Linked DNA regions of Lonchura striata. The protein of the gene in region 1 purifies or fractionates together with the protein of each later gene. This does not show direct contact. Links are inferred from orthologs where the notes say so. Each region holds a gene or a part of one and is shown in the gene's direction. Other genes may lie near its edges.

Evidence for each region.
Region 2: the proteins of MAPK9 (region 1) and DUSP16 purify together in Homo sapiens (affinity purification with mass spectrometry; 6 studies listed by BioGRID and IntAct, with this or other methods). This does not show direct contact. The link is inferred for Lonchura striata from reciprocal best matches to the Homo sapiens genes MAPK9 and DUSP16.
Region 3: the proteins of MAPK9 (region 1) and MAPK8IP1 purify together in Homo sapiens (affinity purification with western blotting; 4 studies listed by BioGRID and IntAct, counting the BioPlex papers as one, with this or other methods). This does not show direct contact. The link is inferred for Lonchura striata from reciprocal best matches to the Homo sapiens genes MAPK9 and MAPK8IP1.

The regions. Positions count from the first base shown.
Region 1 is NC_134617.1:7,228,203-7,235,542, forward strand, and holds the start of MAPK9 (mitogen-activated protein kinase 9), read left to right. Parts: upstream 1-4,271; 5' UTR 4,272-4,396; intron 4,397-7,340. Other genes in the region: GFPT2 (glutamine--fructose-6-phosphate aminotransferase [isomerizing] 2), read left to right, coding at 611-778, 1,209-1,370, 1,970-2,014. UniProt on the Homo sapiens protein: Serine/threonine-protein kinase involved in various processes such as cell proliferation, differentiation, migration, transformation and programmed cell death.
Region 2 is NC_134607.1:10,378,235-10,385,157, reverse strand, and holds the start of DUSP16 (dual specificity protein phosphatase 16), read left to right. Parts: upstream 1-3,844; 5' UTR 3,845-3,924; intron 3,925-4,004; exon of another isoform or gene 4,005-4,227; intron 4,228-4,400; exon of another isoform or gene 4,401-4,521; intron 4,522-6,923. UniProt on the Homo sapiens protein: Dual specificity protein phosphatase involved in the inactivation of MAP kinases. Dephosphorylates MAPK10 bound to ARRB2.
Region 3 is NC_134608.1:38,226,773-38,234,083, forward strand, and holds the start of MAPK8IP1 (C-Jun-amino-terminal kinase-interacting protein 1), read left to right. Parts: upstream 1-4,232; 5' UTR 4,233-4,264; coding exon 4,265-4,347; intron 4,348-7,311. UniProt on the Homo sapiens protein: The JNK-interacting protein (JIP) group of scaffold proteins selectively mediates JNK signaling by aggregating specific components of the MAPK cascade to form a functional JNK signaling module. Required for JNK activation in response to excitotoxic stress.

The DNA.
Region 1 (7,340 bases):
ATTTAAAATAATATTTTGTGGATTCTGCAAAATAGGTTATTTCTATTATTTCATTACAATTTAATTCTACTGCAATAAAACTATTTATAACTAGAAGTATTTAAACATACACATAAGGTGAACCTGGATGTGATACCACTTTCTTGTTTCTTTCACATAATAAACACGGTGTTTAATTAGTCTATTTAAAATCAGGAAACTAGCAATTTAAGTTGCTGACCCATTTGAAAACATCAGAAACAGTGTGCTGATGTTGAGAAGAGATGCTCATGCATGAAACTCATTAATTATGTTATGAACACTGGTAAAATGGACACATACCCATCACTCAGAGGAGTTTGGTGTGTTAAAGGTAGACTGCAGTAGCCAAGGTTGTGCTGGGTGTTTGGTTCCTAAAATTCCTTGTTGGTTACTCCATGTGCATGGGCGAGCTCTGCTGCTGGCCACAGCCTGCTACAAACCCCAGCAGCCACCCGTGTGCTTTCACTAATGCTTGATGCTGGGTACATGAATTTAAGTGGCAGCGGTACAGTCTGGGTGTTTTGATTTTTGTGGCTCTTGTTTCTCAGCTGATTTAGTAATAATTTGAGGCTTTTTTTTTTTTTCCTAGAAAATAAAAGAAATCACCTATATGCACTCAGAAGGTATCTTGGCTGGTGAGCTGAAACATGGGCCTTTGGCCCTAATAGATAAACAAATGCCTGTTATCATGGTGATCATGAAGGATCCTTGTTTCACCAAGTGCCAGAATGCTCTGCAACAGATCACTGCTCGGCAGGTAGTGTTCAACTAATTAACTTCTCCTGTGTCATAGGAAAAGAGATTGTGCCCACTGCACTGCTGCTGACTGTGCACCTGGAAAGGGATGTACTGCTGATTATTGTTAATTATTAAGTTATAAATAAGATGCTACATCTGCATTGAAGGTTTTTATTACAGGTTAATATCAGCAGTGAAAACTGCTTTCAGATGGCTTGTTTGTTTTGGGGTTTTTTTGTTTTGAAGCAAATGGAATAATGTTAAATCTCTACAGGGTGAAAACATTCAAATCTTACAATATAGGGAAAGTCAAGAGTCATTATGCAAGACTGGCATTGCCTTTGTTAGCTACTTGAATGTCTTCAAACACATACAGGCATGCTGTGAACAATATTTCAAAGCAATTCTAGGCTAGCTCTTCACTTAACAATGCAAAAATTTATTTTCAGGGTCGCCCAATCATTCTGTGTTCTAAAGAAGATACTGAAAGCTCAAAATTTGCCTACAAAACTATTGAGCTGCCTCATACAGTTGACTGCCTTCAAGGAGTGTTGAGTGTCATTCCTCTACAGTTACTTTCATTTCACCTGGCTGTTCTCAGAGGATATGATGTAAGTGTTTTCTATATTTAACACTTGTTTTAGTGCAGTTTTGAATTTCCTTCTACCAGTATAAATTGACAGACACAGTTATATGGCATATCTAAGATTTACTAGCTATGAAAACAGCTAGTGAATCTCATAGTGAGTGTGCTTATAGAGGTGACATTTCAGTGCCAATTCTTCCATTTTGTCTTTTTCAATTAGTATCCTTCTAAAAAATTGCAAAGCTCTTTAGCTGTTTGGTTAGTTAAGAGTGCAAATGGGACTTTTCCAGGGAACCTAATCTTGAAATGCGATATTGTACTTTAACTTAAAATAGGTCAGTGCTTTGTACACCTTGGTTTGTTGATGTGTCAGTTTGACAATGATGACTGCTTTGGAAAGGTATCCTATGCAAAACGAATATGTTTTTGTTAGGAGGGTTTTGGAAGCACAGATGAATTCAGCTGCAAGTCATTACCTGCAGATCAATAGCCTGCTGTGTGTGTTAATGTGTATAGAATCAAACAGAACTCATTAGGAAGTCAGAAAAATCACACTGAAGGAACTTTCAAATGCAGAATGCCAGTATTACTCTGTCATACTGAAAGACTGTCTCTTCATTCCAGGTGGACTTTCCAAGAAATTTGGCCAAATCTGTTACTGTAGAGTGACAGCCAAGAACAGCTGATGTCTTTGTCACCAGACCTCTGAGTTATACTTGTATAATGTGTTGTTCTGAATTGATAGGTAAATGTTTTTTCTAAAGAGAATGATAGTGCTAACTGGAAAGTGTCAGAAGGATTTATCTTGCAGCTTTAAAAGCTTTTGATGTGCCTTGTACCCAAGTGCTTTTGCTCCCACCAAATACTCCTCTAAGTCCTGAAATTACCAAAGAAGATAAAAGTTGTTTACACATGGTATACTGAATGAACTTTTTTACTGTGCAATATATATATATATATACAGCTCTCTCCAGAGTAACTGTGAACATTTTTTTAGCCCACACTACATAACTAGTTTCAAAGATATAGTATTTATAAGTACAATTTGTATAGCTTTTTTAAGTTATTTTTTTAGTACATTGCTTATCTGTAACATTGGTAATGCTCAGAATGTAAACACTGAGCGTGTTGATACTTCTGTACAGTTATTAGGGATTTTCCTCCTTCAGCCTCAAACTGGAAATTTGTTGTCCCCTCTTCTTTCCCAGCTTCCCTTCCCCCATTGAATCTGTGTTTCATATTTAAAAAGTCATTTGCAAAGTTCTTCTGTGGCTGTAAATTCCCAGCTATGTTTTCAATTTCTGCTTCTTTTAACTGTTCTGAAAAGTCAGAACGACATTTGTTTTGTATGCCACCCTAGCTTTTATTTGCATAACATGTATACTGCAACAGAATAAGGGAACTGGATGTCTCTCAAGTGATATTTTTGTTTGAAGAGGGTACAATGAAATGACAATGCAATTAAAAGATTATATAATTCTTCTTACTTTGTGGTTTGTTTCTTTGTGTGTGTATGTGTGTTTGGGTTTTTATTTATTTCATTTTTGTTTTTTTTTTAAACTTGATGACCTTTATCTCAAGTCTGAAGAAAGTCCTATTTTAGTAGCATATAGATGTGCAAAAACACACTGATAGTTGTGAACCAACTTGCAGTAGTGAAGAACCTATAAACCTGCAAAAAAAAAAAAAAGGCAGATACACACAATAAGTTCTCTGCTCATTTGTTTAGTTTTTATTTCTAAATGGCCAGAAGGCATAGTATTTAATTTTTCTTCATTTTATTAACTAAAATGTAAAGTTAGTTTAACAGTAAAGTTTATGATATTCCTCTGCAGGCTTGGCTCTAAATGGAAAAAGTGTTTGAATGTTTACTTAAGAGCTTGAAAGTGTTACACTAGCTTATTATAATAGGATATACTTTCCCTAGTACTTTTAATAACAATAATAAAACCAAAATCATAACAAAAAATATACTACTAATGTGACCTAAATGCCAAGAATATGTAACTCTGTATCTAACATGTTTTGGCATGAAAAGGCCTGTTTTACTCTTGATCTAGAAGTAATATTCTCTTCATATTAAAAAGTGGAACTATAAAGGCATATTGAGGTCATCTGGTCTATTTGTGACATTAAATTGATTTATTTAAAAAATTACAGGTACATTTTTCTAAAATCATCTGTGGGAACAGAAATCACAGAAATGAAAGCGCTCATCAGTCCTAGGAGAGGTGGCAAATTGAGTTTATTTTTAGGCAGCACCTGTTTTAAAAACAAGCACTCCTCGTGTCGGGGCGGGGGGTACGTAATGGAGAGAAGGCTTCTGATTTTTGCGTGGGGTTGAAAATAGCTCCGGGAGGGAATGAATCCCTTCCCTCCGGAGCCATCCCTCGGGAAAAGCTGAGGGGAGGCTGTGCTGCAGGGCTATGGCAGCCCCGGGGTCGGGCCTGCTGTGGTGCGCTGTGCCGGGGTGCCAGGTGCCACCGGGAATGTCACCGCTGCCACTGGGCCATGCCACCGCTGCCACCGGGAATGTCACCGCTGCCACCGGGAATGTCACCGCTGCCACCGGGCCATGCCACCGCTGCCACTCTGGGGTGCTTGTGCAGGGCAGGGTTCGCCTCAGCCACGGCTTCTGCCGGCCTGCCGGAGCAGTGAGGAGCCGGCAGCAGGATGGGCGCCACAGCACTGCTGTCAGGTGACATCACGACTATCGTGACAGGCTGACGTCAGGCGGTGACATAACTCCCGTGGCGCCATGACGTCATGCATGACATCATGGCAATCGAGAAACGGTGACATCACGCAGCGACACCCCGCCGGGGGCGGGGGCCGAACTGCCCCGTCACTGCGGTCCTTCAGCGCCCTGCCTTATATAGTGGTCAGTAAGATCCACCCCCAAGCGCGATTGGCTGAGCTTCTCCGGCGGGAGCTGCGATTGGCCGGGGCGGCTGTCAGTCAGGGGCGGCGCCGTGCGGAGCGCCGGGAGGCCATTGTGGCTGGGGCAGCGGGAGGCGGCGGCTGGGGCCGGTCCCGCCGCGTCCGACCCAGGTGAGGGGGCGGCCGCGAGGGGCGTGCTGGGGCGGCGGGGCCGGGGCGGGACGAGCCCTGCGCCGGACGGAGCGCTCGGCTCGTCCCGCGGCGCGGGCAGAGCCGGGGCGCCCCGCGGGCCGCTGCCCGGGCCCGGGCGCGCTGCAGGGACGCGGGGCAGCGGCAGGGCCGGGCCCTTCCTCCTGCGGCCGATCCCCGCCTTCCCCGAGCCGCAGGCCCGGCCCCGCGGGGCCGCCTCTGCCCGTCCTGCTGCCCCGTCCTCCGTGCCGTGCCCGGCTCGGCGGCCCCGGAGCCCCGTCCCGGAGCGCAGCAGCGCCGAGCGCCGCGGGTCCCGCGGCCGCGGCCAGCCCGGGCTCTCTGCAGCCGTAGCGATTTCTTAGCAGAAGTTTTAGGAAAGATGCGGGAAGAATCTTCCTGCTCGCTTCCTACATGAACGGCGAAATTGCTTGCAGCACATGCATGTTTAAACTTTTTCTCTCTTTACACCAGCTTGCCCTGGCAGAGTTCTGAGATCCTTTCAGTGCGTCTGTGTGTAATAGCTGAATGCTATTCACTGTAACAGGTAGTGGTGAAATCTTCGTTTGGCCAGTAGTAATGTGGGCTGCTTAAAGAAAAAGGTCTACTTTCCAAGAGTTTTCAGTTGCAAACTGTCTCTGAACTGCTGTAATCCTTGGGGGTTACCCAGCTAGTGCTTTGTTACACTTTCGTTCTAAAGAGTCAGTAGAGGAATGAGGTCTAGCTCACTGTGATTTTGTAGTTGGACTATTTCCTTTTGATATATACTGCTGTAAAAATTAAAAAAAAACCCTTGATGCTATTGGGTGATAAAACTTAAAAGGGCACACCTGAATTAGAAATGCTTTAGCAAAGGTCAATAAGAGAATGGGGGGAGATTTTTCCATATGTTTTCATAAATACACGTGTGTGTGTATATCTATTCATTGTGAATATTGTCAGCAGTAGAATTTTAGCTTGAGGCTTAAAAATCCAGGCAAGCTTCATGTTGTTCTTGTGTTTTGTTGTCAGTATAACATTTCTGTAACCAAAACAGCCCTGGGAATGTGTGCCCAGTCTGTTTCATAAACTTTTGACTTGAAGATATCCAGAGTACAAATCTGGTTAATAATAAATTGCCATTTTAATAAATACATTTTAGGGAAGTATCTGTTTAATGCAGGATGCATTCTGTAATGCAGTTGCTTCCAGCTTCTAAAGATTTCTCACTGCAATTGTGTATAAGCCTACTACTGGCAGGTTTGGTGTGTTGGTTATTTTTCTAGAAGGAGAATAACAGGTAAATACTAAGAAACTTATTTGACAGATATACTTCTTATTTGCACAGCAGGAAATCTATTTTTATTTGTGGGTCTTGCCCCCAGAATGGATTGTCTGAAGTGCTGTGAACAGCTACAATTGCATGGCAGCTAATTTTACAGTAGTGGGTACGTCTGAAGTAATATATGTCCTGATGCATTCCAGCCAACTTGAAGCCTGAGTGAAAGTCAAGACTCATGGAGAGCTGCTTTGCAAAGAGAATTGTAAATGTGTTCAAATACATAAAACTTGAGTGTTCTGATATCCCATTTCTCTCTTTGGGGCTTTTCTAAGGAGCTTATGCTCATCTCCAAGTGATTTTTGCAAGGTGGCTTTGTGCAGACAGTGATTCTTAAAGGGAAGAGTTTTTCAGGATCAGGATAATTTTGTTTTCCCATATTTCTTTGTCCCTGTTACAGAAATTTTTTTCATTAATTCCTGAAGAGGTACAGCATTGTTCTTGTGTAGCTAAGAAGTTGATATCCTGTAACTTGGTATCTGTACTTTTTTGGTTTTGTCTCTTAAGTCCTTGCAGAGGAGGATCTTGACCTTCCAGCTGTACTTTTCTTACAATATTGAAGATTCAGTGAAAATACCATAGGTGCCTAGGAACTATTAATCAAAACACTTGGTACCTCAGAGTGCATAGCTGTGGAGTAATGAAAAGGGTTGGAAGGAAGGGTGTGATGTACCAGGAAAGTCTGGGAGCTGCCCTTGAGGCATCCTGTGGTCTCATGTTAGTGCTAGCTGGCTGTGGAGCTGCATCTGACTGCCTCTAATATTATTGTGTAGGAGATACTGTTTTCTTCCTCCTTCTCCCTGTGACAGAGCAGAAAGTTGGTAGCCCACATTCTCCCTTTGCTGATCCTTTCTCCTCTGCTTTTTTCCTAAAGCTTCTAAGAGGAAATGTCAGGTAAACTGACTGTCTAAATTATTGCCGGAGATGACCCAGTTGAATGTCTGCCTCTTAAAATGCTGCAGAGATTTTGAGAAACTAGAAGGTAAAAGGGACTCTAGACATTTCTTGAGAATCTCTTAAAACTATTACAGTTTGGTTTAAACTCAGTCTTTATTAGGTCTTGGAGGTCTTCCTCGTATTTTACTGCAGATTCCTTGAGTTCATCAGCTCACTTAAAACATGGAAAAGATGCTGCTGCCTCCTACATGCACTGAGGAAGACAGAAATCCTAATTTTTGAAGGAACTAAGTGTTATTTGTGTGGCTTTGTGCCCTTCTAGGGTGGGTGTCTGGGTTGTCCTCGAGGCTTTTCTGTTTTGCATTGGCTCACAGATACTCGGTGGGGCCAGTGAAGAGAGCTCTTCCAGTAACCAAAGCAGACAGCACAGAGCACAGATGCTCCGGGGGAAGGGGCTGCTTGCATTTCCTGTTTTAAGGAACAAGTTTCAAGTGATTTGCCTGTGCAAATCACTCTGGGCTCTAATGGCACTATCTGTCATAGTGAATGCAAAATTATGAAGGGGAGAATTTGTTAGAGAGCTCTTCAGCAATTACTGAGGTAATTTACTTGTAAGGTTTGGAAGAGGGATGGACACCCAGGAAAACTGTTGGTCTGTGCTCTTGTTACTGTAGCACTTCAGAGCTAAAGAGGTTGAGTCCATTACTGTACTCT
Region 2 (6,923 bases), on another chromosome or scaffold:
ATGACGTTACTCAGGCTGTCATTTATCTTTCTCCTGTTTAATCACTGCTAACTGATTAACCAAATGAAGTGCCACAAAATCCATTAGCTGGAAAAGGAACAAGAAGCTGCACTAGCTTTTAGTAATAAAGAAAGAGAAACCTTTGTAAACAAGGTGCATGACCTTCTCTTGAAATTAGCCAGCTATTTCCTCTCCCTGGCCCCCAAGAACAGGAGCAGTGAGGGGTGACACACTTGCAGGCACTCCTGCCAGAAGTGAGGCTTGAACAGGTAGGACAGGGGGGAGTGTCAAAGTTCAAGGGCTGTTGCATAGCTGGTTGGATAGCCACCACAATATCTTTTGCCCTTGTTTTACCCCATATAGACACTTCTTATCTCATAAGCCTCATAAGGAGGCACAAGACAGGAATGTTAACCTTAACTCTTTCAGTACCATTTTCTCAAAAACAAACAGTGAACTTAGGCCAAAAAGTCCATCACCAGAAGTGTAGCAAAATACATTTCAGACTTGACAGACTTTAAAAACTTGGGAATGAGAGGTCAGCAGCCAGGGACACCAGCAAAGCCAGGCACTCTCTCTCCCAGATGGTTCAGGGGGTTGCCAAAGACACTCTCCTGGTTTGCACCTGCAGTTCAGATCATTTCCAGGAGCTTGCTGCACAAGTGGTAGAGAGGAATGAAAGGCTCTCAGAGGGGGAAAAAAAGAGTTAAGTGATGTTAAGACTCTGACATGCAAAGGCGTTTCTGCTCCTACAGAAGTGGCCCTGGCCAGCTGAGGGATGTCAGCTGCCAACACATTCACAGTTTGGCCACTGCAAACAGGAGGCAAAGGATACAGCTCCTACTCTCAGTGAAGAGAGGTCTGATGCTGCTGTCTTTGAGTCTTCCTGACTCCTGCTTTGTCTTCAGGTTAGCAATGAATCTGTCCAGTTTCACTCTGCAATGTTCTCCCAGATCAGATTTTTACCTCAAGCCTGGCTGAAAAGAAAAAGTTATTCTTAGTAATAATTTCAATGTGCAGGAATTAATTGTGATGCCACTGGTTTTGTCACATCTTTTATTACATTAGGAAAATAAAAATCCTGACTCTATACTGAAAAAGCTTTCATTTGCTGTTCTAGTACAAACTTTTCTGCATATATCTTTTTTTAGCTAAAAAGAAAAATATTTTCAAAATATCCCAAGTAATTCTTATTGTTACAGCTTTACAGTCAGGAATTTTTCACAGTCCCACAATTTAAACAAAACCTAAACCTGTTACATATGGTGCTAGTGAGTTGAGATGAGAAAAGGGAAGAGAGAATTGAAATGTCTTTCCTCCTCACCATGCAGCTCTCACCACTGCTCCCCACTTCTCTTTGTGAGGATAACCATGCTGGAACTATTTGTTCCTGCAATTTTCTGGAATGAAAGAGCTGGGGCACTGGCTGTCACCTCCAGTTTCTCTGGCACCCTCTCTGATCCCCTTTGTCAAAATGGGTCACTTCTAGCTCCATTAATCAGCAGTTAATTGTGCAGATTTTTAATGCTGTGGGCACTTTTGGGGTTTGAGAAAGGCATCTTTGGGACCACTGCTTTATTGAGACGGAAGGGCAAAACTGCTTTTCAGCTACTGGAAAAGGATACGTGCAAAACAGTGAACATCCCAATGTTAATTGCTTTACTATAATTTCTTCACTGCTTTTGATATTTTGTCTCTTCTGTGGAGCTTGGGCTTCTCTCTTGCCTGCATGCTCTGCACTCCCTCACACAGGAGTTCAGTACAGATGCCAACAAAGTGTTGTTATGAGATAGCTCACAACTCCTTAGCACGAGGGCATCATCAAGGTGGTTCTTGGTCAATATTGACAGCACAGAGCCCCCTCTCCCCCCATATAATGTATTGAGTTACCTTCTTCCTGAAACACCAAACACCCAAACCATTTTACTGTGAGCGACAGCTATGTGCTTTTCCAACGGCACTTTGGAAGAGACAGCCACCAAGAACATAAGGACCTATGCAGTTAATCCTCTTTCTCATGCTGTCTTCCAAGGGTTTCTGGCACAGGGATTCAAAACTGTCAGAGGTGATGGAGTTTGAATTCTGGTGTGCAAGCTGTCCTGCATGTCCTGCAGCGCCAGCAGGTAACGTGCCATCATAGTAATGATGCTTCTAAGGAAGAAAGAGGACCAGAAGATTCTGTCATGCCTGGAAGAGGGATGCACGACAGGTAGGACCCATGCAGCCCCTGAAGGATGTACTTTACCAGTTAGGCTTGGTAGTAGCCATAACAGATACATGTCAGGCAAAAGTAACATGTACTTGTGTGGATCTGCATAAATTTTCACTGTATGGCTTCAGATTTTTAAATTTATTTAAGGTTATTTAAAGGTCAAAGGCCCCCAGTGTTCCACATGACCCAGAGGGTGCTCTGCCCACCTCAGTGACAGGGGTTGGAACTGGATGACTTTAAGTTCCTTTCCCTTCCCTCAAACACTGTGGTTGTGTCATCCAGTAACACTACCACAGGAGGATGTGACCCTTCACACCCAGGTGGTTCTACACCGCAATGCACAGCGGCACACTGCAAAAGCAAAGGCCAGGGCGGTATTTACGGATGCCCCCTCAGCTGGTTCAGGGAGGAGAGGGCGAGGAGAGGGATGGCCGAGCGGACAAGGCTGCGGGCCCGAGGCGCTGCGAGGCGCCACCGGCCCGGCGGGCTCCGGGCCGAGCGGGGAAGGGGCGGCGGGCCGGGGGGGCCCTGTGGAGAAGCCGGAGCGGGGCGAGGGCCGCGGGGCGGCTCGGTTGAATCGCTCCGCGGCCGCGCTCCTCCCAGGGGCCGCGGCAGCCGGGCAGCAGGCTGCGGAAAGTGAGATAACCCCCATCCGGCCCCCGCCATCGCCTCCCGCCGCCGGGATCCTCTCTCACTGCTCCTCCTCTTTCTCCTTCACCCTCTCCCCCCACCTTCACCCTCCGGCTGAGTTCATTCACTGTGATTGGTTTCAAATGACGCCATCGCTTTATATTTACACCAATGACCTCATCCCAGCAGCTTGAAGTTTACGGACCAGCAAAACTCTTTTCTCTCGCTCGTTCCTCTCCTTGTGCTTGCTCTTCCCGAGTGTTTGTAGTCGCTTCTGTCATTCTGGGATCCTAAGGCTTAAAAACAAAACCAAACCAATAACCCCAAACACAAAGACCAAACGCGCGCACAAAAAACCCCAACCCCCCAAACTTTTTCCGTCCTCCCGAGCTTTTCTCTCTGTGTGTCCCCCTTATTACTGTCCCTTTTGAATTTTTTCAAGCCATCTTGGGGAAAGAGAGGGAAAAGAGAGTTCCAAAGCCCCAAATATTTCCTTTTTCTTCTCCTCTCCCCTCCCACTTTCACGCTTCCCACCCTTTAAAAAAAACAAAAAAACCCAATATATTTTTTCTTTTCTAATTTTTAAATTTGCTGGGGCTTGGTTGTTGTTTTTGGGAGGGCCTTTTTTTCTTTGGGTTCCCCCCCCCCCCCCCCCCCCCCCCCCCCCATTGAAGAAGTAGGAAAAAGAGGCACTTTCCCAGGGACTGGAAGAAGACAAAGTTGTTTCGGGCAGCAGCGGCGAGGCTGGTGGGCAATTGATTTTATCCTTGCCGAGGGGACAGGCAGCCAGACTGGCAGGGGTGACACAGTAAGTGCCGGAGCAGCGCAGGGGGACCCCGATCCAGGGCCGCACCGGGGAAGCCAAGCCGGGAGGGAGGCGAGGGGCGCGGGGGGGCCCGGCCGGGCCGGGCCGGGCTGGGCGGGGAGGAGGGGGAGGGAGGTGAGGGAGAGGCGGGCGGCGGGAGCCCTCCCTCCCTCCTCCCCATGCCCTTCCCCGCCGCCCCCTCACCTCCGGAGGAGAGCGCCCGCAGTGGACAGGTCGCTGCCCCGGCCCGGGCGGGCTCCGGCCGCCTCCGCAGGCGGTAAGAACGGGGGCCGGAGGGAGGGGGAACGGCACAGACACCGCACGGCACCGGCGGCCGCCCCGCGCTGCCCTCCCTACCTGCTGCCGGCACCCTGCTGCCCGCGGCGGCTCCTGCCCCCCGTCCCTTCCCTGTCCTCCTCCCGACATCCACCTGCCTCTCCCCGTGCGGGGAGGAAGCCGGGCGCCGCCGGAGCGCGGGGCGGGAGGAGGCGCCGCCGGGAGAAGCGATGGGAAGGAGCCCGCGGGGGGCTCGGCGCTGCCCGTGAGCCGCGGCGTGCGCGGCCACCCTGCTAGACTTAGCCTGGAGCGCTGGCTCCGAGCGCGCTGCGCAAAACGCTTAAGGATGCTTTAAAGCCCCGGAGGGCTCCCGAAGAAATGCTGAAGTTCTGCCTTCGCCTTGGAAAGCGTTTAAATTGAGGCGACTGACAAAATGGAGGGCTGCCGCGGCGTCCAGGAGGGAGGCAAATTGTTAACCTGGCATCGCGCTCGCCTGAGCTCCCAGCCCGGGGCTGGCGCCGGGAAGAGGCCTGACTGATCCCCGCTCCCGGCTTATGTGCCCCGACTCCGGCCCGGGATGCGGGGCTGAGCGCGCATCACCAGGTGTATAGGATGTGCCTATTGCCGAGCCTGACCAATAGCAGGATTTTTCAGCGGCTAAAAAACATTTGGTTGTATGCCAGATGAGAAGCTGGGATTTTTAATTTTTTTTTAAAAAAATATTTTAATTTTTATTTTTTAAGAAAAGGAAACCCAGGAGAATTTACCATCATTTCAGCTGGTTGAAATATAAAATAAATTTCTTTGGTTCTCCTTCAAATGAAGGGTGTAGTGATAGCGAGCTATATTGTCTGACCAATGACTAATTTTTCTGTTCAAACATTCAGTGTATACCTAGCAGAATAAATAGATCTGTTGTAGTTTTGAAACATAAAAGCAGATTGAACTGCTTCTCTTTGCAGGGACGTTTGTTGGGGTTCTTAAAAGAGAAAATCCCAACCAAAACCCAAGAATGATTTTGTAATCCTTGCTCTGAGATTTATGCTATTCCTGGAAGTGTGTGGTTTGTTAGATACAGAGTTTACAAAGTCACAACTGACCAAACAGGAGTTGGTTTAGACTCTTGTGTTTTGAGAGGAGGTGGAAAAATAGTAAGTCTTAATTTCTTTTTATAGTGTTCATCCCACTGCTCATTGGAGATTGAAACACAGTTGTTTATGTTGTCTGGGAGTTTCTGTTTGAATGTGGACCGAAGTATGCAGTAGGGAGGTGTACATGTATTTTTAGCTTTCATGTTTAATGACAAAAGATACAAAAAGTAAGGATATTCACAAGTAAATCTTGCATTTACTGAATATGGTCGTTAATATTTTGAGGATGGAATCTATAAGAAATATCTGAGTTGTAGTATGTTCCACTTGTTGTGCTTGTTTCATACAATAGTGCTTTAGTAAATCTTAACAGACAATTTAAAAGTCCCTTTTAGAATGAACAAATACCTAAAAACAGCAGAGAATGTGTCAATTCCTGTGCTACAGATGGTAGCTTCAAAATGCTTTGGTTTAATACATATGGGAAGGTCCAGAAAAACAAACCAAGCATTTAAAAATGTAACATGTTGTATGAAGATACCTGTTAGCTACACAAGCAGATGTAATGGAACAAAATCACACCAGAAAAGCTTCTGTAGAAGACAGCGGGCTCAGTTATCTTGGTTTCTGTAAAAATGCATGCTCCTCTTCTAGCAAGGACAGCTGGCTGGGCAGGGGTGTTTGTTTTTAGCTTGGCTTGACCATGGGGACGGTATCGGCAGAAGCTGTGCAGGAATGTGTTAAATGGATTTCTCTGGGAGCTGTCTCCCAAGCCAACCCCGGCGGGATGCCAGCCCTCAGCCCGTGGGAGGAGTAGTGGTTGTATCTGCCTTGTGCCTGTGTACCTTCCTTGGCAGATCGACTCTGCCAAGGAGCTCTGTGCTGCTGCTCATAGGGGCAGTGAAATCATATGGAGTCACTGGCAACTGGGTGTGAGATGGGCCAGTCGCTCCTCTGCCTATCAGATAAGAGATTCACATAAGCCTTCCAAAGCTCTCAGGGGCTACATTCAGGCTCTCTTTGTAAGGCCGCCCTTCATAAGAAATGTCATATAGACAAGTTAAGTGTTGATTTCTGTTACCTGTATTTATCTCCCAAGTGAGTTCTGTTCCAACACGTTGGGCAGTAAGAGGTGTGTGCAGGGTGAGGGCTTTGCTCCATCACCAGGGTTTTTAAAGTTCAATGCCATAATCCTCACACTGATTCAGCAATATTCGGTTCTCAAAATGCAATTTTGCTAAGAAATACAGTAAGTACAGCTGAAGTATTTTTTCCCCTAAAGAAAAAGGAGGCAGAAGGATGATAGCTTTCACTTTGTAGTATAACAGCTGAATTTTCTAGGACTTTTATTTCTTTTTCCTTTCTGTAGAAGCAGTCAGGAAAGCATCATTGATATTCTTCAAGTGCTGACAGTCTTTAATAGCCAGATGGCATAGAGTAGATACTGTCAAAGGATGAGGTATGGAAGGATTGACACATCCCTTCCTGTTTCTTTTCCATGTTTTTTCCAGCCTTTGAAAGAAACATGGTCTGTGACTCCACTGAATCTGCCCCTATGGATTTGTTGTTATGATAGTGACTAAATGCTTCTTGCAATCTTGTAGTATTTTGTGCATGGTTGTGTAATGCTGAATCCTTCATTATTTAAGAATTTTCAAGAAGCTGGTTTTCTTGGTAATAGGGAAGAAAGCGTGTCCCTAATGTGTCAAATGGTACATTCACTTTCCCTACAATTCCTTAGAGATGGTTTTCAGAATGAGTGTTGCAACATGGAAGATTTCTCTAGAATATTTTAAACTCTGATAAGTACAAATGAGTATTGCTAGTGTTTCTGTGGTTTATTTGTATCCTCCTCATAAACAAAGGGTAGTGTATTATCCTTTAGGGCTGCCAGTTGCATACATGGCCT
Region 3 (7,311 bases), on another chromosome or scaffold:
TCATCCCGTGCAATGGGCTGCTGTTGGCACTGTTTTCATTTGCTGTCCAAAACCTTTCATCCCTGCCTGACACAGATAGTGTGGGGCTATATGTGAGCTTATGCAACTAACTGCTTGGGGAGTACAGGAGTTGTCTCCCACTGGGATAATCAGATTCAGTTTTGGAGCCTGTGTTTGAACCCAGAGCAACAGGGTTGCAAGTAGAAACTGAGTCAAATGTACCTGAGAAACCTGAAGTGGTTGAATTGAGTCTGTGAATAAATTTAATGAATAGCTGAAGAACCTTTCCTTCCCATTCCCTGGGGCTTTGATCTTACGTTCTTTTTCTGCAGAGAATCCACTGGGCAGACTGAACAAGTAAACAAAGAGTCACTTTTCTTAACCTTACTTTATTCTAAACTATTTGTAGTTTGCCTGGTGGATAACCCAGTTATCAACAGGTCTTGTCTCTAACCCAGCTGTTACTCCCATTGTCTTGGGGGTAGAAGGGTATAAAGAAAAAGAGATACTCCCCTACCCCCATCTTCTGCTGCAGAAAGAAGAAAGGGGAAAGATGTGCACTTTGTCTAGGTTACAGAAATTGTGACTTCTGTCATTTTGAGAGTTTCATGCTTAGGCAATGGTCTGTAAATAAAACTTTTTATAAATGTCTTTAACCCTCTTTTTGCTGTCATCCAAATTATTTCATTTGGTAAATGGAATTTTTGGGGCTGGATCTGTGGGGGTAAAGAGTCAAAGGGAGGGGAGGCCACATCTCCTCAGTGATCTAGAAGGCTTTGTGGAGGCAAGGGAGATCACATTTGCAAGGTTTCTGTCAATACCTGGGATATGGATGGTAGTATATGGAAGAGCTGCAGCTCAGGTAGTAGCACTGGGAATGACACGCATCAGACCAGTTAAAGATAACGGAAAAGCTTCTTTCAAGAAACCTTGTAAATAGGCTGGGATTCATCTACTTTGGCATCTTTTCCCAGCTGAAATAATACAGGTGGGTAAAACTGTGTGACAAGCAGGGAATGACTGTTCATTGTTTTCATTGATACTTAGAATTTGGCATGCTTGGTTAAAGTACAAGATGGCAGATTGAACAAGTCTGTGCCTTGCTTAGCTTTGTGACACATTTTTCCTCAGTTGTGGGTGCTAACAGTTTGAGTTCAAAAAGATTTGGCCAGTTTGTGGGGAAAGAAAAAGCCATCAGTAACCATTAGACCATCTTTGTTTCAGAAGCAGCAGGGGACTGCTGGAGGCTGTTGTAAAGAAATAGCATGAAATGGACACCAGTTTAGGGGTTTCTGTTCTCTGTGTCTCAGGGCAAGCTGGCAATGCCTGACCTGACATAGGCACCCCTAACACGGGTGTAGTGTGAGCTCTTTGCTTGGGCAGAGGGAGCAGTTGCCTTTTGATGCTCTGAGAGCAGTGGCTTTGGGATGCTCCCCACGGTGGTGTGAAGGCTGCTTTCAACTAAACATGGATACTGGAGCAGAGAAGTCCCACGGAGCTGTGAACAGTTGTTCAGCTTGGGTCTCCCGTCAGTGATGGAGCCTTGGCTAATGACTTCTAAGCTAAGTAATGAACTTGTATTAAATACACTAGACTTAGCAATCTAATTAGCAAGGACAGAGTCAAGTTCTTGTGCATCCTGCCATCCTCCTTGGTGCTTCTGTGTCGATGCACTTGCTGGAACCTCTACCTTAGCAAGAGTTCCATGACGTACATTAATTTTCTTAGTAACCAGCAAGACTTAGGAAGTGCATGTAGCCATGCAGTTCCTTGTGAAGGTTCAGCAGTGGGGCTTATCTAGGAAGGAAGTGCCTCAGCTCATGGTATTGCTAAATTGTTCTCTTGTTTCTGGCAAGGATCTTCTGGTCTTGGAAAAATAAAACTTCAGTGCTTGGGGTGGCTCACACATGGCAAAAACCTTCTGAAAACATCAGCATATGCCTTAAAAGATGATGAACCAGAATGACAGTAAACTCAGTCCAGCTTTTTCTAGCCAGAGTGGAATAATGTAAATTAAAGCTGAAGAGATTGGGTTTGAGGCTCCTCGTCTGTGCTGGCCATGATACCTGTTTTACCTGTCACAGGAATGATGGTGATGTGGCTCAGGATTGGAAATGGCTAACCTTGGATTTTTAGCAGAACTGCCTGCTCCATGTGCTGGTGCTTGAGAAAATTCCCTTCTTCCATGTCTCTTCTGTCTGCACAAGGAAGGAGCTGGAGTGGCTTCAAGTGGGGCTGGCTGAAAGGTCTGATAATAGAAAACACACCTAGATATGAAGAAGTGGAGCTGGAAATGTGGCCATTTGAGGCAGAGGGGGAAAGAACAGTAAGAAGGATGGCTGATGGAAAAAGAGGAGTCTGGTATCACAGCTGCATCTGGGTGGAGATCAGATGGTTCAGCTGGGGACGAGGAGCAGGAAAACTTCTCTGAGCACATAACCTCTCCTCAGGTTTCCTTTAAGGCTGAGTTGGTCTGGACTGAACCTGATGGTCAATTGGACAATTTGAAGGAGGAAAATCAGCAAATGCCTTGTGGGCAGATACTGCTGGGATGGAAGTGCTATCTCCTAATTTGCAGCAGATGTGCATGCACTCTCCCAGGGGCCGTGTGCACGACTGTGCATCCGAGGAATAGGCCTGACTGACAGTAGTGCAGGTAGGAAGGTCCATTTGGGTCTCCTGCCAGGCCAGCCTGAGTCAGGGATGGTGACCTGACTACAGGTCACGTCACTAAGGGGTGAGTTTTTGGTGCTTGGCAATCAAGCAGAAGGTGAGCTGCAGTGATGGTGATCTGGCTGTGGGACAAGGCAGCATCCTTACCTTATGCCCCAGGTCAGAGGCCAAATAACAGCCATGCTGCTGAGATCAGTTCTGGTAGATGGGGTTTATGCTTTGAGATGGAGCTACATCAAAGCTCCCCCAAAGCTCCTGGAACGAATGCTGGTGAGTCTCTTGGGTCCTGCATGTAATACAGTTCAGTCTGTGTATCCAAACAGCAAAGGGGACACTTAGATCGCCCTCAGGAGGCTGCCCCAGGGTTACCTGCACATGGTGACCCCGGGGGTGTGTGCTTGTCTCCACACTAGTCCAGGAATAACATCTCTTTCCAGTTTGTCTGGTAGGAGACTAAGACTCCTGAGAGAGAGCAGGACTTATGCCTTGGAGGGCTCTGCCTGCTTTTCTCTGGAGGAGCAGCTGACATCCTGGGTCTTGGCCAAGAACTAATACATCACCTCAATGGCAGTCAGCTCTGTGGTGTGAGAAACACTGATGGGACTGGATGTTTGAACTGCTAAAGAAGTGCCACTCATGCCATCCAGGACTCTCAGAGACACAGATTGGCAGCACAGTGGGCATGCAGGGAATAAGGAAAGTTCTCCTGTTCAGGTACAGAAGTAGCCTTGAGATCTAAAAATACTGATGCTGTCCACTTCTGTCCACAGCACAGTTTTCTGAGCTTGCAAAGCATGGGGAGAAGAGCAGGGAAGAGAAACCTGCCCAGGCTGGTAAGGAAGAGTAGCAACAATGAGTACCCACCCAAGATAAAATGCTTCTTGGAACATAGCTAGATACAAAAATGGGTTTGCCCTTTCTAGGAGAGGCCTGAATCCTTAAGATTCATTTTTCCCCCCCTGCTTTGTCCCTGTGGAAGGTATGTGTATGCTGCTTTTTAAATTCCCTTTGCAGTGCTTGCAGCCCTGCTGCAGGGATAGGTCTATACGGGGGCTGCCAGACCTGTTGCCAGGTGCGGCAAATATGCCATGGGTGCCAAAGTGCAGCGTGGTTGCTCCTGCTGCTCCTGCTGCCTGCAGGCGCCTCCCCGCTGCCGAAGAGACCCCTGCAAGTGGCCCCTGTGTCCAGCCCCTCGCCCTGGGCTCCTGCCTGCCCACTCGGCCAGCCGGCCCCGCTCCTGGGGTTGCTCCTCCCAGCCTTGGGAGACCCCCGGCCGTCCCTCGCACCTGCTCTTGAGGGTGCAGCCTCCAGCTGCGGGCACATCTGTCCCGCCGGGGCCGGCGTTCGCCGTGGCCCGGGCGGAGCGGACGGGGTCGGGGTGCGAGGTGACGCCTCCATCTGTGCCGTGCCTGTCCTGCAGCTGCCGCCGGGAGCCGCGGGATGGAGCCTCCGGGCCGCGCCCCCGCTCCCCCCGCCCGGCGGCAGGTATGTCCCTCCCCGCCGGCACCGCCAGCATCCCCCTCCCTTCATCCCTCCTTCCCTGCCTCCCTCCCTCCCGCCCGCCCTCCGCCTGCATGGAGAGAGCCACAGAATGGCGGAGCGAGAGAAAGGAGCTGCATCCCCGCCCGCCTCACCCTTCCTGGGGCTGCACCTCGCCTCGCCCCCCAATTTCAGGTACCGGCCGCCGTCCCCCCGCGGAACCCTCTCGGGGCTGCCCCTGCCCCCTGCCCGGGGCAGCGCTCCCCATCTGCTGCAGCCCCCGCCCGCACGGTCGCGCCGGCCCCCGCCTCCTCCAGCGCTTCTGCCCCCTCGGCGCGCAGCCCCCCGGCCCGGCCATCCCTTCTGCCCCCCGCCCCAGCCACCGCTGAACCCCACCGCAGACATCGCTCCAGCCCCCCATGGCTGCTCAGCCCGCCCACCCAAGCCATGTTGGCCCTCACCCCACACATACACCACTGCAGCTTCCCAGCCCCCTGCTTGCCCTCGTGTCCCCTCGCACCCCATCCCGCCTCCTTACCTGTCTCATCTCCTCTTCCAGCACCTCTTCCTCATGGAAGAAAAAAGCTTCATCTCTCTCCCCTCCCCAAGAAAAGCCTTTTCCCAGCCCTTTCCTAGAAATCCCAGGTGCTTCTGCTTCCTTGCTACCCCTGTGAAACAGGAACCCCAAGTGAGACGGTGGGAGAGTGCCAGAATTGATCCTCTTAGCAATACCAAGTGCTCCCATCGATTTGGGATGCAGGGGGCTGTGTCTCCTCTGAAACCCAATGAGGCTTGTCACAGGGACTTCCGATGGCGTGGGCCAGGCCAGAGATGCCTGTGGGTTTTGGAGCCTCTGGTGCCTGCTAAGGGTAGCTCTGGCACACGGATGTGCTGGGTAGGTAAGGGAGGAGCCCTGCCCCTGCCTGCAGGTGCGGTGTTCACTTGCCATAAGGGGAGGCTCGCTGCTCCTGGCAGCTGTGCCCTCGTCAGCCATTGCTCTCTGCTTGCCTCTGCCACACAGGGGTGCTGGGGGGAGCTGCCTGAAAAAAGGGGAATGGTACCAGCTGCCTTGCGTGCTGAGATTTTGGGTGGAAAGGAGAGGATGGTCCTCACCTGGGACCACAGCTAAGATCATGCCCTCCTCTGTCAGGCCCAGCCCCTGAGGCTGGGGAACCCATGGGTCCCTGAGAGGAAACAGATGGGTGCAGTCGAGCAAAGGTAGTGCTCAGGCAATTAATATTTGAAGGGCTGTGCTTCTGGACCCCCGTTGCTGGTGGCTCCGGGTCTTTGGCAGCTGCCTCCTATTGCAGCGCTGCCTGCGAGAGCTGCTGGGAGCTGTTGCAACATGGCTGGTGTACCCTGCAAAGCCAGCGATTAAACACTGCCTCTGGAATCATCCACCATGGAGAAGGGGCTTGGCCACTGAGCCAGGGGCTGGAGGCTGAGCTGCCGAGCAGCTCTGGGCCTGCCGCCTGCTGTCCTGGAGGTAGCGGCTGTGCCCTCGGCATCCTCCTGCTCCCCAGCAAACAGCCATGCCCTCGGAGGGAGAATGAGCTGCTGCTTCTGGCTGGGCCTCAGATCTTTGGAAAAGGAGCCCCGTGTGCTGCCAGCCTGCTCCAGGGAAGAACTGACCTCGTGAAGGATGCTGTGCAGCTGGGTGGAAAACTGAGGAGTCAAGGCAGGAGTGCAAAATCTTCCCCGGGCACCAAGCTCAGGGTGTAAGTGGAAGTAAATGCAGTGATGTGTCTGAGCCTGGGGCAGGGTATGGCAGATCAGAGGTGATGTTGTGGTGGGGAGTGTCGTGCGAGAAGGGAGCCGTGCTTGTGTTTCAGAAGCTGGGTTATGTGTCACAGCATGGCTTGTGCATGTCCCAGGTCCTGCATCCCTGCTGCAGGGCTCAGCGAGGGGCTGTTCCCCGCGGATGAGCTGGACCCAGCAGCGATGAATGCGGTTCAGAGTGAAGGCTCAGACCATGGCTGGCAGTGAGGTGAGCACTGCCCTCTGCCCCTGCCTGCTGCCTGCAGGATGAGGTGTTTCAGATTTCTGCCCTTTGGTACATGCATCTGCACTCCCAGCTCTGAGTGGTGACATGCCAGTCCAAGCATTAGGTGATCAGTTGGCTTGAATTGAGAGAGGGCTTGGTCCTGGCCAGCAAGCAGACTGAAGCATTGAAGAGACCAGGCATAGTGGCCTGGCAGTGATGGTTTTGTGTTGTCTGAGAAGAAGTGGGAGGAAAAGGATGGTGAGATAATCCCTCCTTTAGCCAGGAGGTCCTCCAGAGGTATCTGTTCATCACAATGAGAATAACACCATTTTAGGAGACAGCAATTACAAAAATCATTCTCATCCATCCTCCCTTAAGCTTCTCAAAGCCTTGCAGTGTGGTCTGTGTTCACTGGAGCTCCGTAACATCTTTCTCTGGGAAACGGTGTTGCAGCTCCTTGCCCTGCTAAGAAGCTTTGGCTGTGCTTTGTGGCAGGCTTTCCTGTGAGGGGCTTTCTGGAGCCTCTCTGGGTTAGGGGTCCCTCTACCCAGCATTAGAGGGACAGGGAGGACTGGCACAACTGGGGTGAAGCTGGATGCAGAGCTCACAGTGTTGCCTGTCCCACTGTCCCCAGGACTGTGGCTTTAATGTAGATGGAACCTGGGAGGGGTCACTGACTGATCCCCTCTTATCTCCTTCAGCTTTCCCTGATAAAAGTAAAGGGCATCCACCTAGCTACTGGGTAGGAGGACACCTAGGGGAAGAAACCCTTGGGGAGTTATTTCCATAGGTCAGGAGAGAGGGAAACTACTCTACTACTCAGGGAGTGCTGTCAGAAATCACAGCCCTTTGGGAAGGGAGGGGCTCTCTGAGAGAAGAAGTTCTCTCCGTCTTGTCGGGAAGTTCAAAGATGCACCTTCGGGCTGAGGCAAAAATCAGTTTAGTTCTGTGGTTTGTTTTATGTGTCTGTCGTGCTCATCTGGAGCTGTCAGCAAAGCCTGTTTGGAGGCAATGAATGAGCTGGGCGTTGGAATGGGGCTCCCTGTCTTCTTCTGAGGGGAGATGGAAGGGTTGTCTTCCTCTGAAGGAGGGAGAGAGGCGCCTTCTCATCAGTTTGAATAAAGCGTCTCTGTGGCCATTGAGATGGAAGAAAAAGGCAGGGGCCAGCCAAATGT